Linked DNA regions of Oreochromis niloticus. The protein of the gene in region 1 purifies or fractionates together with the protein of each later gene. This does not show direct contact. Links are inferred from orthologs where the notes say so. Each region holds a gene or a part of one and is shown on either strand. Other genes may lie near its edges.

Region 1 (7,992 bases):
GGACCCGTCTTGCTAAGCTGCTGCGCTTCCAAACCTCCAACAGTGAAACAGACCTGTCCAGCCTGGAGCAGTATGTGGAGCGCATGAAGGAGAAGCAGGATAAGATCTATTTCATGGCTGGCACCAGCAGGAAAGAGGTGAGTGAATGTTTTTGGCCAGGTGAAAGAAGTGTAAACTATCCTACACTAGCTGAAATTCTCATGTCTCTTGTTCTTCCATCCGCTACAGGCTGAGTCCTCTCCCTTCGTTGAGAGGCTGCTGAAGAAGGGCTATGAGGTCATCTACCTGACAGAGCCTGTGGATGAGTACTGCATCCAGGCATTGCCAGAGTTTGATGGAAAACGCTTCCAGAACGTGGCCAAGGAAGGTGTCAAATTTGACGAGAGTGAAAAGGCCAAGGAGAAGAGGGAGGCCCTGGAGAAGGAGTTCGAACCTCTCACAACTTGGCTGAAGGACAAAGCTCTAAAGGATAAGGTAATGCTGTGATATTAAAAGAATGGGAAATGAGTGCCAGCTGTATAAGCAGTTAATTTTGGCTATAGCTGCCCATTTATGTCTGTTGCAACATTTAATGCATTGCTGTTTATTCCCCAACAGATTGAGAAGGCTGTTCTCTCTCAGAGGCTAACCAACTCACCCTGCGCCTTGGTTGCCAGTCAGTATGGCTGGTCAGGAAACATGGAGAGGATCATGAAGGCACAGGCCTACCAGACAGGAAAGGACATTTCCACAAAGTGAGTGTTAATCCCGTGCTGATCTTTGCATGTCCATTTATTACTCCACCTGCTATTGCTTTGCTCTAAATCTGTATTTCTGTTTAATCTTTCCAGTTACTATGCCAGCCAGAAGAAAACACTAGAACTCAACCCCAAACATCCTCTTGTCAAGCAGTTGCTTAACAGAGTCAATGTGAGTTTAACCACTGTCATTTTTGTACATCTGTACTATAGTAATTGTCCTTTACTAAGATTACCATCAAATTACTTAGTAAATGTAGTTCATTACATGAATAAACTTAAAATGGACCAATCAGAGCACATAGTTGAACAGTTTCTTTTCCTCACACCCCCCAGGCCGATGCTGAGGACCAGACTGCATCAGATCTGGCTGTGGTTCTGTTTGAGACAGCCACACTGCGCTCAGGATACCAGCTCGTTGATACAAAAGCTTATGGAGACAGAATAGAGCGCATGCTCCGACTCAGCTTGAATGTACCACTAGATGAACAGGCAAGTAACTGCAGCTCTTGTATGGTATACTAATTTGCATAGCAGATGTTTCAGTTTTGGTATCTGTGTCTGAACTAATGGTTCCTCTTCCATCAGTGACCTTTTTTGAGTTTAGTCCTGTCTCTGCTTTTTAAATCTTTGTAAAATGTTAAGTATTTTTGCAGTGATATTTAAGACTGTAGGATATATTTAATGATCATGACTCTTTTATAGATTGAAGAAGAACCAGAGGAGGAGCCTGAGGAACCAGCAGAAGATGACTCTGAAGATAAAGAGGAGACTGTGGATGAGGATGATGATGAAGAAACGGTGAGAACACTTCACACACTCTTGCTTGAGGAGAATGTAAAATTAAGAATCTAGATGATGGAGTGCTTTACTCTTCTGACTTTTCTCTAATCACTCTTACAGACAAAAGACAAGGATGAACTGTGAAGCACTGAAGGGAAGAGCGTGTAACAGTGGAGCTGGAAAATGGACTTAAGTCTCTGTTTCAGTGCCACCGTGGCCACATTATTTCTGGGTGGGGTCCCTGGGTTGGGGTTTTTTAAAGCGAATATTTGTTTTTGTTTCTTTTGTATTACATTCCTCATGACTGTAAATTTGTTAATATTTAACTGACCTGTTTATGGAAAGATGTGATCCTGTCTATTGATCAAATAAATGTTTCGTGGAAAAAATGCTTGCATCGTTTCTGGTGTTTTATTCAAAACTGAAAGAGTTGCTTTCAGACAGGTCTTGGCTACTATTTTCTTTTTCAGTCATCTTAATCCCAACATATCAAAAGTACAGTCTGGCTGTAGCTTATAGTGTAATACATCTACCCATACATAGGGTGCCATGACATTTTACAGTTTGTTTTCAGACTGAAATGATGTAAAGAGTCATGGTTACATGAGCTGTTCTACATTTAGGATACTTTACTGTTCTTTTCGGTTGCACATTTATGCAAATTTAATGAGGAAGGATGCATTTAAAAAAAAAAAAATATTAAGTGCACTGAGGGTGACACCCCTGTGGTTTCTCTACAGCAACCCTGGGGAGATGGCTTACTGGTAAGATGTCATGAAGACTGATGCATCTTGTACAGGATGTCTTCATTGAGCCATGCCTTTTTTTTTTTTTCTTCTTTTTTTTTTTCTTTACTGAAAGTGAGCAGAACTAGGTGCCTAGCCTTAATTGTTGGATATAGTGATTTTGACTATAATAATATTGTACACTAAATGCTAAATCTAATAAAATCTACTTGTGTGGGTTTATCTCAGAATCTGTTATGATGACCTAAACATGCAGACCACAGGCTTGTCAAGGTTTACAGGAAAGCAATGAAACCCACAAGGATGTGGAACAGCCAGTAGATGCAAGAGATAAAACTTGTTTGGGGTTTGTTTGTTTGTTTGTGGGGTTTTTTGGCGGGGGGGCGTCTTCACCACTGAATTAATTATCTAATTTTACACAGTAAGCTTATTTTACCCAAGAAATACATTTGTTCCAACACACTCAGGAAAGACGGCAACTTAATGGCACTTGAAACAGGAAACAACATCAACTGTATCCTAGTTTAACAATACATTGTAATGTAGTGGGATGTCCAGTAGGTGGCACTAATACATTCAAAATGGGTTCTAGCAGCCAATGAATTAAAGGACGCACTCAATCATTACGTCATTAAATTGACTTAAGAGGTTTCAGCTTCACATTTTTGAGATGAAGCCATAGAATAAAAACATGGAGCCCTTTCGAAGCTGATCTCGCCCCACTTCACTTGGCAAGTATTATTTAAGTATTGCAAAAAGACATGTTTCCCCCCCCCATTTCTTTAGTTGAAATGCACGTGAAAGAATGCCATTGTAGAATAAAAGAAAAAAATGCAGGCCTAAAAAAATCTACATCTGATGAACAGTATCTTGAAGTTGTTTTAAAAGAAAACTGTTCTTTTCTTTATATATATATATGTGTGTGTATATATATATGTATATGTATATATATGTATATGTATATATATGTATGTTGTATATCAACAGAGAATTCGCTGTTTAAGTGTAGTTAACAATTACACCAATGCAAGCTCTACTGGTCTGTTGTGAAGCTTAAAGTAGAAACCGTCTTCAGGATCTATGGTTCAGTGAACAGGGCTGACGCACAGTGTGTGTGTTTTGTGCAGCTGACTCTTACAGTAGATGAAATGATGGTGTTGTGCTGTATTCAGATGTGTGTGTGTGGGGGTGTGTGTGTGTGTGTGGGGGGGTGTCTTATAGTTCACAGTGGTCTGGAATAGTGAGTTTGAAAGCTAACAGCTAAACTGCAGCAGTGGAGCATTACAGGTCACTCCATCGACATGCTCCCATTCGCCGGAGTGAGAAATGCTGCGCCTTTCTTAATAAAGGGTGACAGATATGGGCCACAGCAGGGGGAGGGGTGTCATAGTGGAGCCACAGAGGAATGATAACCATGGCAGATAATAGCTGTGCTCCTTTAGCACAGTTATTATCTGTTTCCTCAAGTGGTTCCCTCAAACTAACCTTCTCTCTGCTGGAAGCCTTGAAATTCCAACACAATATGAGAAGGGATTTTTGGGGGGGGGGGGGGGATTTCTCACACTGTAGTAGTTGTGCCACCACATGCCATGACTAAAACTCACCTGAGGTCACCCAACCTCAGCAAGTGGGCAGACTTCCCACTTGCTCTGCATTCCAGTTTAACCCTTACCCCCTTGTTTTGCTCTACTTCCCCTTCCTCTCTGGATTAGCTGTTTGACAGAATGTAGTTTTGCAGGCTTGTGAACTCATGTCACTCCTACAAATGTTTCTGGTACGAGAAAGTGTCAACTAAATTTGAACTCATATTGTGGATATGCATTTTTGTGGCTCAGTCATATTGTAACCCACAGCAGAGCATCATTAGTTCATCTCTTGATAGATGTCCATATGAAGTCTATGATTAATGAGCTTTAGTTTGAGACCTAGACTTATTTTTTCTGTCTGAGCCGTTTTTCTAATGTACTAAATGTTCAGCTACACAAGTCCGTGATATCACAGGGGAACGTTTGATTCTGAAATGAAACTTCCATCTGGCGTGGTCAAAGTGTTCTGACAGGTCCCATGACATTAAAATATCCAGCACATTTATTATTATTTTCTCCCTATGGAACAAGAAATGAGCCTCCAAACTCTCTAAACTATCATAAACGATCTTTTCTTATTAGCTCCTTTAAAAAAAAGAAGCCTAAATAAAAATACAGAACTAATCTTTATTGAGCTGTAGGTCTTTACAGAGGTCTTAGGTTTTAATGTTTACCTGTTTAAATATGAATTACATGTGGCAAAACAAAAAAATAGATACATTTCCCTCAGATTCAGTGTTTATCATTGCATGGTAGTACCTTTTTGTCTTTAGCCTTGCTATGTCTACTGCTGTTGTTTTTTTCTTTTTAAATAATATGCGATGTCTTCTTATTTAATCATATTTTAAATCGTTTAGGGTAAGTGTGAGTGAACAACCACGGAAAACATACATGCCAGACCGCAGGATATTTGATCTAATCTCTGTTAGTGAAAAATCGATCTATGACTGAAAGAGCCTTCCCCAGGGCTTCTCTTTCCCATCATTTGTATTTTGCGACTGACTGCAGTTTCTGCGCCGCTGCTGCTCATACGCAATCTCTGGATAGGTGGTTGCCATGGATTCCTGGGTCACATGCGTGGGTTTCCTAGCCAGAAGCAGCAGAAGATGTTCGGACCAAAAATCCAGAGCCATTTTCATTCAAGAAAAAGAGAGGATCCGCTGTGGAGGGCTTGCTGAGCGGGTGGTCTGACTACACACCCGTCTGCTGATTTCGGCATCTTTAAAAAAAAGCCAACCAAAAAACACGACGGGAAGAAAACCTGATCTGGGTGCTTTTGAATCACTGAAATTCGCAGCAAACCGGTTTTGTCCACATCCATAGACTGATAACAGGAATGAGTATAGAAATTCCTGAAGGACTGACGGAGCTGTTACAGAGCTTTACCGTGGAAGTGTTGAGGAATCAGCCCAGGGACTTGCTCGAGTTTGCGCTACAGTATTTCACCCAGCTTAAGGAGAACGAGACCAAAGAGGCCTCATTTGGCAATGACCAAAATTCGGCCCCGAGACTTGGGAAAGCGGTCAATTTCATTGACGAAGCCATGCAGATCGATTCGGAAAACGGAGAGGAGGACGACGACGATGACGAGGAATTCATAGGTGGGCTAACACATTCACCGTGCGTGTTTCTGTCAGGGGGATGCTGAACGTGACTCGAGATGCTTTGCTTTGAATTGTGAGCATGTATGGATGGATGGATGGCTGCACCGCGGCTGTTCTGTGGGAGAGAATGAGAAACCACATCGAGCGCGCTGATGCTGCCGCCATACATTTACAACGGCTCTGTCATTTGCCATATATGGTCACCGAGGCTCAATGCTGCTTCACGAACGTGTTTTGCTCTTCACGTTTCTGCTCAGAGAATAGCACCTGCACACTGCGGCTTCTACGTTTGCTTTATAAATAATTATGATAGTAATAAAAACATCTGGACCGTTTGAATGTTTTCTGTCTCAGGTGCAGGCCCGGTGGGCCTCCCCTTCATATGTACCCCCCCCCAAAAAAGACAAAGCTTGTAAAACATAAAGGGCTACAGCTTCAGCTGTTATATAGATGCAGGCAGTACACAATCTGCCGTCGACAGGCCTACATTTCCTGAAGTATTTAACACAGTGACTGCTGCTAGAGTGTAATGAGGTGCAGCCAGAAGCAACCCAGAGCTCTGACACAGCATCCCAATGAGTGGTGGCTTCTGCAAGACTGGCTGCAATGGTTACATAAGGAGAAATGCCTCACATGCAGTTGTTAAACGTCTGTGTTTTGGGTCATTGTTGTGCCCCCCCAACCAACCAACCAACCACCATTAATGCCTCCCATATTTCAACGAGATTCCCCGGTCAGCACTGGTTGGCAGGCCATTAATGGATGAGACCTCCTATCTAATGTATATTTCATACTGACCTATTGTGTAGCAGCTTGGCACTGTTTTTCTCATTTAAATTTGATTCAAAGGCTAAAATCCACTTCAAAGCAGCTGTCCCCCATTCAGCTTTTACTCAGATGAATATAGACCCTAATGAGAATGCTCCACTTGTGCTGTAGATGTGTAGATGTAGAAATACAACAGCCTCAAACCTTCCTAGCAATAACAGTTTGTGATGGATGGATATCTTTTATGGTGAAATCTAACATGCTTTTTTAAAAAAAACCCAACCCAGATATATATCTTTCTTTTTCTTTTCTCCAGCCCCTGTGATAAACAGATTCATCCGAAGAGCATCAGGTGAGTTGCCATCTTCCTGTTGTGTCAAGGAGGGAAACTCTGGACAGTGTCTGAGCTGAAAACATTAAATAAAGCCTTCTGTGACACATGACTAGCGAGGCTGCGTCAGATTGGTTTCAGTACAAGTGATACTTAAGTATTTTTCCATCTGTCTTTTGTTACCGTCTTCCACTTATTGTAATCGTGTTGATTTGTTACAGCTTGTGAAGCCACTTTGTCTTGAACCCGTCAGTGAGTAATGTAGCAATAGTAAAGTTGCGGCTTCACATAACTTTGTTGTGTTTGGATAGCTGCTTGGTCTGCCTTTCTGAATGGAAAGAATTATTTATTAATAACTTAGGTATTTAACTTACCTCTTATCACTTCAGACGGGGAACGAACATCTTCTACTTAGTACACTGTAAAGCTTGCACAGGAAATGAAAACAAATTTAATTAAGTTAACATTAAGCTGGCCACTTACTATATTCCACTTTAGCCTGTGCCAAGTTGAAAGTTTTTTATACCACTACCCCATCTTTCTGTTAACATATAGGAAGGAAATGCGGTAAGAGTGCTGTCATCCATCACCGCATATTCCTGTACTCAAGATGAGAAAAGTTGTTTTTATTGAAAGATTTATTGCCTGAAATGGTCCTGAATCATCCCTGGAATTTGCCTTTTTTGTTTGACTGGGATGAAGTCTGTGCCGTGGGCCACCTGAAGATGAACATTTGTTTTTCAGATGTTATGTAAGGTGTCGTTATTCATCTAAAAGTTCATTTAAAAAAAAAAAAGTGAAGCTTTTTCAAATAAAGGCCTGGTAGACAGTTCCACTGGAAGTGAGCTCTCAGAGACCCTAGAGACGCTGGTATACTTCAGCATTATAATTCATGAACGGGACGAAACAAGCAATTAATAAGGGATTAATTAACAATTCTATTTACAAACACCTTTGACATCTACTGTCGCTAATAACAAGAAAACTGCCCCAGAATTGAAAACACTGTATGGACAAAATAACTGCTGCTCATCAATAAGAGAAATGTAAATGTGATTTGTGTGTCTGTGTCATGCAGTGTGTGCTGAAGCATTCAATCCTGACGAAGATGATGAGGATAAAGAGCCAAGGGTAAACTGCATCCATCCAGTGATTATTTTATTTACACAATTGGTTTAACTGTTCAGAGGTTATAAGTCTGATTCGTGATTTATGTTTTAGGTCACTCACCCCAAAACTGATGAGCAGAGACAGAGACTACAGGAAGCATGTAGGGACATTCTTCTGTTCAAGAATTTGGATCCTGTGAGTGGATTATTCCATAAGCTCTTCTCTGGTTTGTGCCCTGCCATATCCTAAATTAAACAAAGGGAAACATGGCCCAAGGCCAGCAAATTTCTTTCTTTTTTTTTTTTTTGCTGCATGCCCAGTGCACCG
Region 2 (7,452 bases), on another chromosome or scaffold:
TTAAAATGATCCTTTACACGTAGTTCAGCATTTGGTCTCTCCAGGGCTGAAAAAACACATTATGTAAACCTTCTAAAAAATATCGGATGCATAAAATGTTTTAAGATAGTATTATTGCTTTTTGATTTGTGGATAATCATCAGTATTCATCTGTCAAAAGCACAAACAAATCAGTGATTCTTCATTCTGCAGAAAGAGCCTGAGGTTGCACAGCTGCACAGTTGAGACATATCGGAGAAGCAGACAAACAAATACACATAGAATCCTTTACGAATTATGAGCATCCCCTGAGCCAAATTAAACACCACCATAGTGGCTGCCCCCTGAGCCAATCAGTATAAATCTGAGCCTGCTCAAACAGCAAATATACTGACGCAGGTTATTCCCTGATGTTTCATTAAAAATCAGCTCTGTTCAATGTACTACTGATCCCAACGACCAGGGTGACAAACAACATGAAAAAGGTACTTTCATTCAGTGGAAACGCACACCTCTGTAAGAATAAAAAAGAAGATATAATAAGCTTCAATCTTAATTGGAGGGAAACAAACAAAGAAACTCTTCATCTGACAGATATATACAGACAGAAAATTTACCCACAACTACAAAGTGACATGACAGGTGACGTTTGGATCTGAAAATTGGGAGGGATTTAGAGAAAGTAAGTGTAGGAACAGGTGCCATATCTGAGTTCATGAGTTTCTTTGACCCAACAGAAAATCTGACACCACCCTGAGTACATTATTGCAGTCAGTGCTGAGTGTTTTTCATACAGGGAGCCTAAGAAGATGCTACTCATGTAACTGAAGAACTGAGTGAAAGTCTTGAATGAATAAATCCAGAATGCCAGTAACACGCTTGTCAGTGTGCTCCATTTTGTAGGCAAACATGAACAAAGCATCTGCACACAACAGCCTGAAACAAAAGCCTGGCAACACTGGCCCACAATATTCACTTTGCTTATTGTCTGGTGTGACTCAATAGGCACTCGCCTGCTACGAGCTACACAATAGATGACAGACAGTTTACCCTTCACTCAGATATCAACATCAACTTCTCCTTCACCTGATTTCAGAAATGCATCTTTGAAGTCATTCTTGTTAAGATTTATTACTAAAAATCCTATTTTTCAGGAGGAAATACATGACAAAACAAATATTTTTTTATAAAGTGAGGAAGCCAGAAGACAATGCAAACACTCCCCACAGCTTATGGACTGACTCAGCCCTGGAAGTCCCTGTTAAACATTATGTCATGAGATTTCTTCACTGCGTGAGGACACTGTGATTTGGCACTGTGTGAAAGAAACCAGCCTGCACCACAGAGGGGCCTTTTTATAAACCAAAATACCAAAGTCATAACCCGGGAGACGGTCTCCCCTGCAGTGCAAAAACCAGAGAGCTCAAGCAATTTAAAAACCAGCATGCTGAATGTTTCTCTGCAGCATCTGGATGGAAAGAGGCTGGATTTCCCTTTGTGAGACTGCCTGATTTAAGCAGTTTTGACACTTTCTGACTCGACAATTTAGTTCGTAGAGACTCATTCTCATTAGGGCTCTCCTGGAGTAAAAGAGAAGACGTAATCAAACCTCAGGATCCCATTTCCCACAGTAGAAAGAAAACAAAAAATAAATAGATATATAAACACATTACCTATGTACAAAGATTGCAGATACAATCTCTTTACAAGATTTTGTAAGTTTGTGCTGCACGGTAATATTTTTAGAAATACACAAGTGCTTCACTTTATAAACATTTGGTCTCAATCTAATGGCTCAGGCTGATGTTTCTGTCTTAAAATTTGCAACTTAAAATAACTCCAGTCAAATAAGTACCGACACTCCTCCCAAAGCTTTCCACAGCTTCAACATCCATAACAACTGGCATACACCATGAAATCTAACACTGGACCCACATCTGAACCTTGAGAGCAGGATCATGAAAACTAGACAGGCAACATTGCAAATAAAGATTTTCCTTAAATATTATTAAGATTGTTAAGAAGCCTCTGCATCAACTAAAGTCTCATTTATATATATGCTTTTGCATCCAGACAGCTGAGGAAAGAATGTATAAGAATGCAACATTCAGGGCTATACTGCAACACTCAACTGTGCATATGCTTTATCTAATTGTCCACATGCTTGCAGCATGACACTGGTGTATTCATGATATGAAAGAAAGATGGTGGCTCACCACAGGCTGGTCTGACCAGCTTGTAATTATGTTGCTAAGATCTCTTTGCAAACATCTTTTTTGATAAAACACATCCCCCACAAGATGTTTGGGTTATACAGGCTATAAAAATAGATAACAGAGCTCCTGCAGTGTCATCCACAAGCACCACGAGCCAAAACTGAAAGAGGAGTGAGCACTGTGTCAATGTCGATTAATATAAACATTGATCCAGTTTGTGGATGCTATCGTTTCTAGAAGACAGCTAATAAAGCACAAGTTTGGCATGTGAGGCAATGCTGGTTCTAGCCAGTGGGGTTATGTCCTGTAAATCCTGTTACACCAGCCTGTCAGTCAGTGTCACTTCAGGTGGCGTTTATAAATCCCGGGTAGCAATGTGGCGTCTGGTCTTAACACTGCGTGCGCACACCTGCACATCGGTTTCGGTAAAGTAAAAGGAAACACTTTAGTAAGTGCAGACATGCAGCATGACAAAGGAGACTAGCAGCGGCTATGCTAACCACCCCCACCCCGCCCGCCCCATGCCCGGCTGTCAGAGCGAAGCAGGGCGCATGTTTGCGGAGCCCGACAGCTGATAGCGTAAAATGAAAGGGAGGGGGGGTGAGGCGAAAAGCGTCTGACAGACCCCGGCCGCGAGAAAACAAGTTGTCGACAGCATTAAGTCGCTACTTCAGAGTAATGAGAGCAGTGTCAGTGAGTTGTGCTAGCACCAAAACTGAGAATCATACCTTTGCTTTGCCGGCCTCCAGCTTCTTTTGCCTCTCCTCGTCTTCCATCCCCGCAGTCCCTGTGGCTAAACAAACAGAGAAACTGCCTCATGCGAAGTATCCGCGAGAGAAATTTAAAAGCTAACAGCTAAATGTCCCTCTCTCTCTCTGACTCGTGGCTCGCTCCCAGAGACTTCCACTGGTATTAACTAGCTGTCTCCTTGTTGGTAGTCCGCCGCCATGTTTTCCACGTAAACATGAGACCCAGTAATGATGACGTAGTGTAGGTGCCTTCACAGCCACGCCCACTGGCAGCCCAACGGTGGTGCGTTCACGCTCAGTCAGAAATACCGTCCCCAACATGATCGTCGTTTTTTTTTACCACTTCAAATTTCTATATATTATGTTATATTGTTACTATTTCTGGTGTATTCTTAGCCATATCTCTCTTTAAAAAGTCATTTTTATTTTCAGTGGGACTTTTACACCTGTATAAGTAAAAGATATATAAAAGTAACGTTATGAAAAAGTGACCACAACTCCCAAATAGTGTCAGGAATGTTGGACAGATTATAGGCCATCAAGTCACTCAGAGCAGGCAAATACAGGAAATCAAATTTTGGCAAGCGATCACTTTTTCGTATGACCACACAGTACTAGAAAAAGTTTTTTAAATACTTTAATTCATTTATAAAAAAAATAAAGTTAAAAAATTACATTTCGATATATATATTGTCATTAAAAAGTCTGTTGTCTGATGACCAGAATCTGTTATTTATTGCAAACCTCCACCTACTGAAAAAGGAAAGTGTTTTCTTACTCAAGTTCTCACATGGTTGTTGCTGAATTGTCTCCCAGAAACTTGTTTTTAGGTGAGGTGGGAATACCAAATTCAACTTCCAGCTAATTAATTCGAAAAAATTCTTTCACTGTCAAGCTCTGATTCTGACTTTGAGTAAAAGAAGCAATGACATGACAATTAATTCAGCACAGTTTTAGTATATATCTAAACAACAACAACAAAATAATAATTAAAAGTAAAAGTATAACCCTGTATCCAAAAACAGCGGATAGATTTAATCTAACTAATTTTAACCACTGTGTATCCTGTTCTCGGGCATGCCCCGCTAATGCCTTTGGACCAGAGTACTGTAAAGCTTAATGATGCCCAGTGGATGAGAGCATATTAAGTATTTCAATGTAATGCTACATTCTGCTTCTACTTTACCATATTTTCTTTGCAAATACTGTAGTTTGCACTCATACAGTGACATACAAATCAGTGAATCAGAAATTATGATCCAGTATATACATGATTCTGAAAAGTGATATTCAATATAATAAGTACATTTACTTTAGACACTAAGTATATTATGATTTAATAACTTGTTCACCATGAAACCACATAAGCCTTTAATATAAATTTTACTTTTTAGCCCATTTTTTTTTCACTTTGTGAAACAATTATCAAGCATGTTCAAACCGGTTTCACTCCCTGCCACTTGAAATACTCCTAATCCTATTGGGTAGCTTTAAATTTGTCTTCTATAAATATATCTTGACTGATAAAGTAATGGAGGCAAATGCCAGATGCTATCAAAATAAAATACATGTCTCTCCATTTGTACCCACATAAGTATCTCACTAAAATGCATTTAGTTGGCGTCTACCATTGAGGGTGGTGATGAAACACTTGCTGACTGCTTTAAATCCAAACACACCACATTTCTCCATAATTTATGATTCTCTTTTTTTCTCTGTCTTTGTGGTTTGAAAGATATTTGTGAATTTGTAGAGCCATTACAGAAAAGAGGGCTGAATTTCTCACAATGTAAAAGATTATTTAATGCAAAAATAATACATTTAGTGCTAATTATTAATAATCCCGTCACTATATTTGACTACAATCCCATAAATTTCCCTTCATTCTCTGCAGTCTGAAGTCTGCTTGTAAAGTCTGCTCAGTTTCTATGGTAACAGGCGAGGAGGAGAGGTTGCCAGAGCTGTCCCAGTTGAGAGTTTTCTTTTTTAAACACAGAATATTTTCATATCAAAGATGTTTGCTGCTAATAAAGGCTCCAGCCGTCACCTCACATTCTCCAGCATGGCGTTTGAATGGGCTGCATCACCAAGAATGCTGCCATATGTTAAAGAGGAAGCACGTGAGCTGTCCCAGCTGAATGGTGCTGCAGGTAATATGAGAGACTGGCATCGGTTTCTAGGACAGATGGGGACGATTAAAACAAATGGACAGGCAATATTTTACTCACAGCCTCCATGTGGGATTGATCTTCAGTCTTAAAATAGTATATATTTAATTAAAGTAGCATATTCTTGGCAAACTAAGGGCCTTTTATCTTTCCTGTCATTTTCTCCCAAATAAGTCAGTGATAATATAAACTTTATGGCTTGATCGTTAGATGAACTAATCTTGTTGCTTTAAAGTTTTTATTTGATCACCAGTGAGCTAATAGGGGATATGGGCAGTAATTCAGAGGGGTCTTTGCTGGGATTTTAGAAATCTGGAGATTATTTGTTACACATTTGCTTAAACGCCATATTTCCCCAGGGCATGCCTCAAACTGCAAATGTAAGACTAACAAATTTTAACCAGTTTTAATATTTCATATTCTTTGATTATTTCCTTACACTGTTACATTTTATTTCAATTTCCCTGAGATTAAATTCCAGGTGGACCAACATTTATTCCCTTTTTATTTGCAGGCCAGTCCAGTCTTAAACCAATATCCTACCTAAGCGTTTTGCCTCAGTTTCACTCGAAGATTTCTTGTTCTAACATCCAGGTTAAAATATTCTTGTAGAATTATAAAATATTAAACTTTTCCTTATACTTCCAGAAACATACCAGTAGTAGCAGTAGCAGCAGCAGCAGCAGCGGGAGAAGATGCTCTGTGTCTTCGGCTGACGGGGGCTGAACAGCTTATCGTCTGGCAGATTTTGAATTCCACCCATCTTCTTTTGGACATTCTCACCAGCCTGATCTCACCTGTGAAAGCTCGCTGTTTGAGCACCAGCGTCTGCAGGAACTTTTGAAAGTTTCGCCAGTCTCTGAATTATTGATTCACTCAGGGAGTATACAGAGTCTACAATTACCCAAGTGACTTTACCAAGACAAGCTCAACAAATGAACAGCATGCATGCTATATTTATAAGTCAGAGGGTGGTGAATAAAGGCTGTTAGAATTAAAATGATAGAAACATCTATATACTGAAAAGTAAAATAAAACCACTTTGAACCATTTTTCTTATAACACTTTAAATACACATGGTGGACAAAAGATTAAAAGCACCATTCAGCTGAGACTTATAACACTTTAAATACACATGGTGGACAAAAGATTAAAAGCAACCTTAACTAATGTAGATTATCATCACATCCAGTGCTGCGGCTCTTTTAAATTAAAGTGTATTTATAGCCCAGAAGTGTCATATAGTTTCACCTCCTGAGATCCTCATATGATTACATTTTTTTTTTAATGCTTTTCTTCATCCTTATACTTCATTCTGCTCAAAGTATTCTATATTTTATTACACAATTGAGACTTTATTGTGTTATGCTTCATAAACCCAATATGTAAAAATGAGGACATGGTTGCAAAAACAAGCTAAATCATGGCCTATCCGCCACCGTGCTTGACAGTAGGTGGTGTGCTGACATGCTGTACTTACCTTTCTCCAAACATGGTGTTGTGCATTATGGCCATGAATCTCCACTTTGGTCTTTTTAGAGAGAAGAGGCTTTCTTCTGGCAGTCCATCCAAACAAGCCATACTTGTTAGAGATTAGCAGCACTGGGCTGCCACTTGCCCACTTAATTCCTATGGAAACAGTAAGGGTATACTAGCTGAAATTCCTCTTCAGTGTTGTAAGCGACTGATAAAGTCCTGTGAAAGCTTCACATGACTGTTTGTATTACCAAAACATGTATGATCTATTTCTATGTTTAAGAAATCTTGGCTTCTTGTAATCTCTTATGAGGCCAAATAACTTTTATGGGGGCTAAAAAAATACATGTCACACTCCAGTAGGTTTAGTTAAGTGCAACAAGAAAGCTGGAAGCTCAGCAACATGTGGGAATGTCTCTGTTTCAAATACAATAGCAGAGTAGATCAGATTGAACCACTCTTACCATTTATGGTGTGTTATAGCCTCTCTTTATCTTCTGTCATAGAGTATAAGTAATTAAAAGACAGACACAAAGACTATAAGGGTCCCTAAAATACTTTGGATACGTTTAAGAAAATTTCAGGTGTGCAAATGCAAATGTAACTGTGACCTGTGGATGTGTGAGACAAATTTGAATCGAGACTCCAGCTGCCCAGCTGTTGCGATAGAGCTCACTTCAGTCTCAAAGCAGCAGAGCAATGTGTATTTGCATAATGACAATATCAGTGTCATGCATTAAAATATGCATAAGTGGGGGGACTCATCAGTAAAGAGACGCACTGGGTCAGTACGTTTCTCAGTGGCAGGCTGTGAACCATAACACATGGTAAATGTCCTTTTGTAGCTTGTACGAGAGCATCTGC

What was found. Proteins that work in one complex are often made in the same cells at the same time.
Region 2: the proteins of prkar2b (region 1) and akap9 purify together in Homo sapiens (affinity purification with mass spectrometry; 3 studies listed by BioGRID and IntAct, counting the BioPlex papers as one, with this or other methods). This does not show direct contact. The link is inferred for Oreochromis niloticus from reciprocal best matches to the Homo sapiens genes PRKAR2B and AKAP9.

Annotation. Positions count from the first base shown.
Region 1 is NC_031972.2:48,756,081-48,764,072, forward strand, and holds the start of prkar2b (cAMP-dependent protein kinase type II-beta regulatory subunit), read left to right. Parts: upstream 1-4,893; 5' UTR 4,894-5,188; coding exon 5,189-5,453; intron 5,454-6,540; coding exon 6,541-6,576; intron 6,577-7,633; coding exon 7,634-7,686; intron 7,687-7,776; coding exon 7,777-7,860; intron 7,861-7,992. Other genes in the region: hsp90b1 (endoplasmin), read left to right, coding at 1-137, 229-474, 598-734, 831-909, 1,074-1,229, 1,443-1,538, 1,641-1,664. UniProt on the Homo sapiens protein: Regulatory subunit of the cAMP-dependent protein kinases involved in cAMP signaling in cells. Type II regulatory chains mediate membrane association by binding to anchoring proteins, including the MAP2 kinase.
Region 2 is NC_031985.2:17,966,093-17,973,544, forward strand, and holds the start of akap9 (A-kinase anchor protein 9), read right to left. Parts: upstream 3,174-7,452; 5' UTR 2,972-3,173; coding exon 2,924-2,971; intron 1-2,923. UniProt on the Homo sapiens protein: Scaffolding protein that assembles several protein kinases and phosphatases on the centrosome and Golgi apparatus. Required to maintain the integrity of the Golgi apparatus. Required for microtubule nucleation at the cis-side of the Golgi apparatus.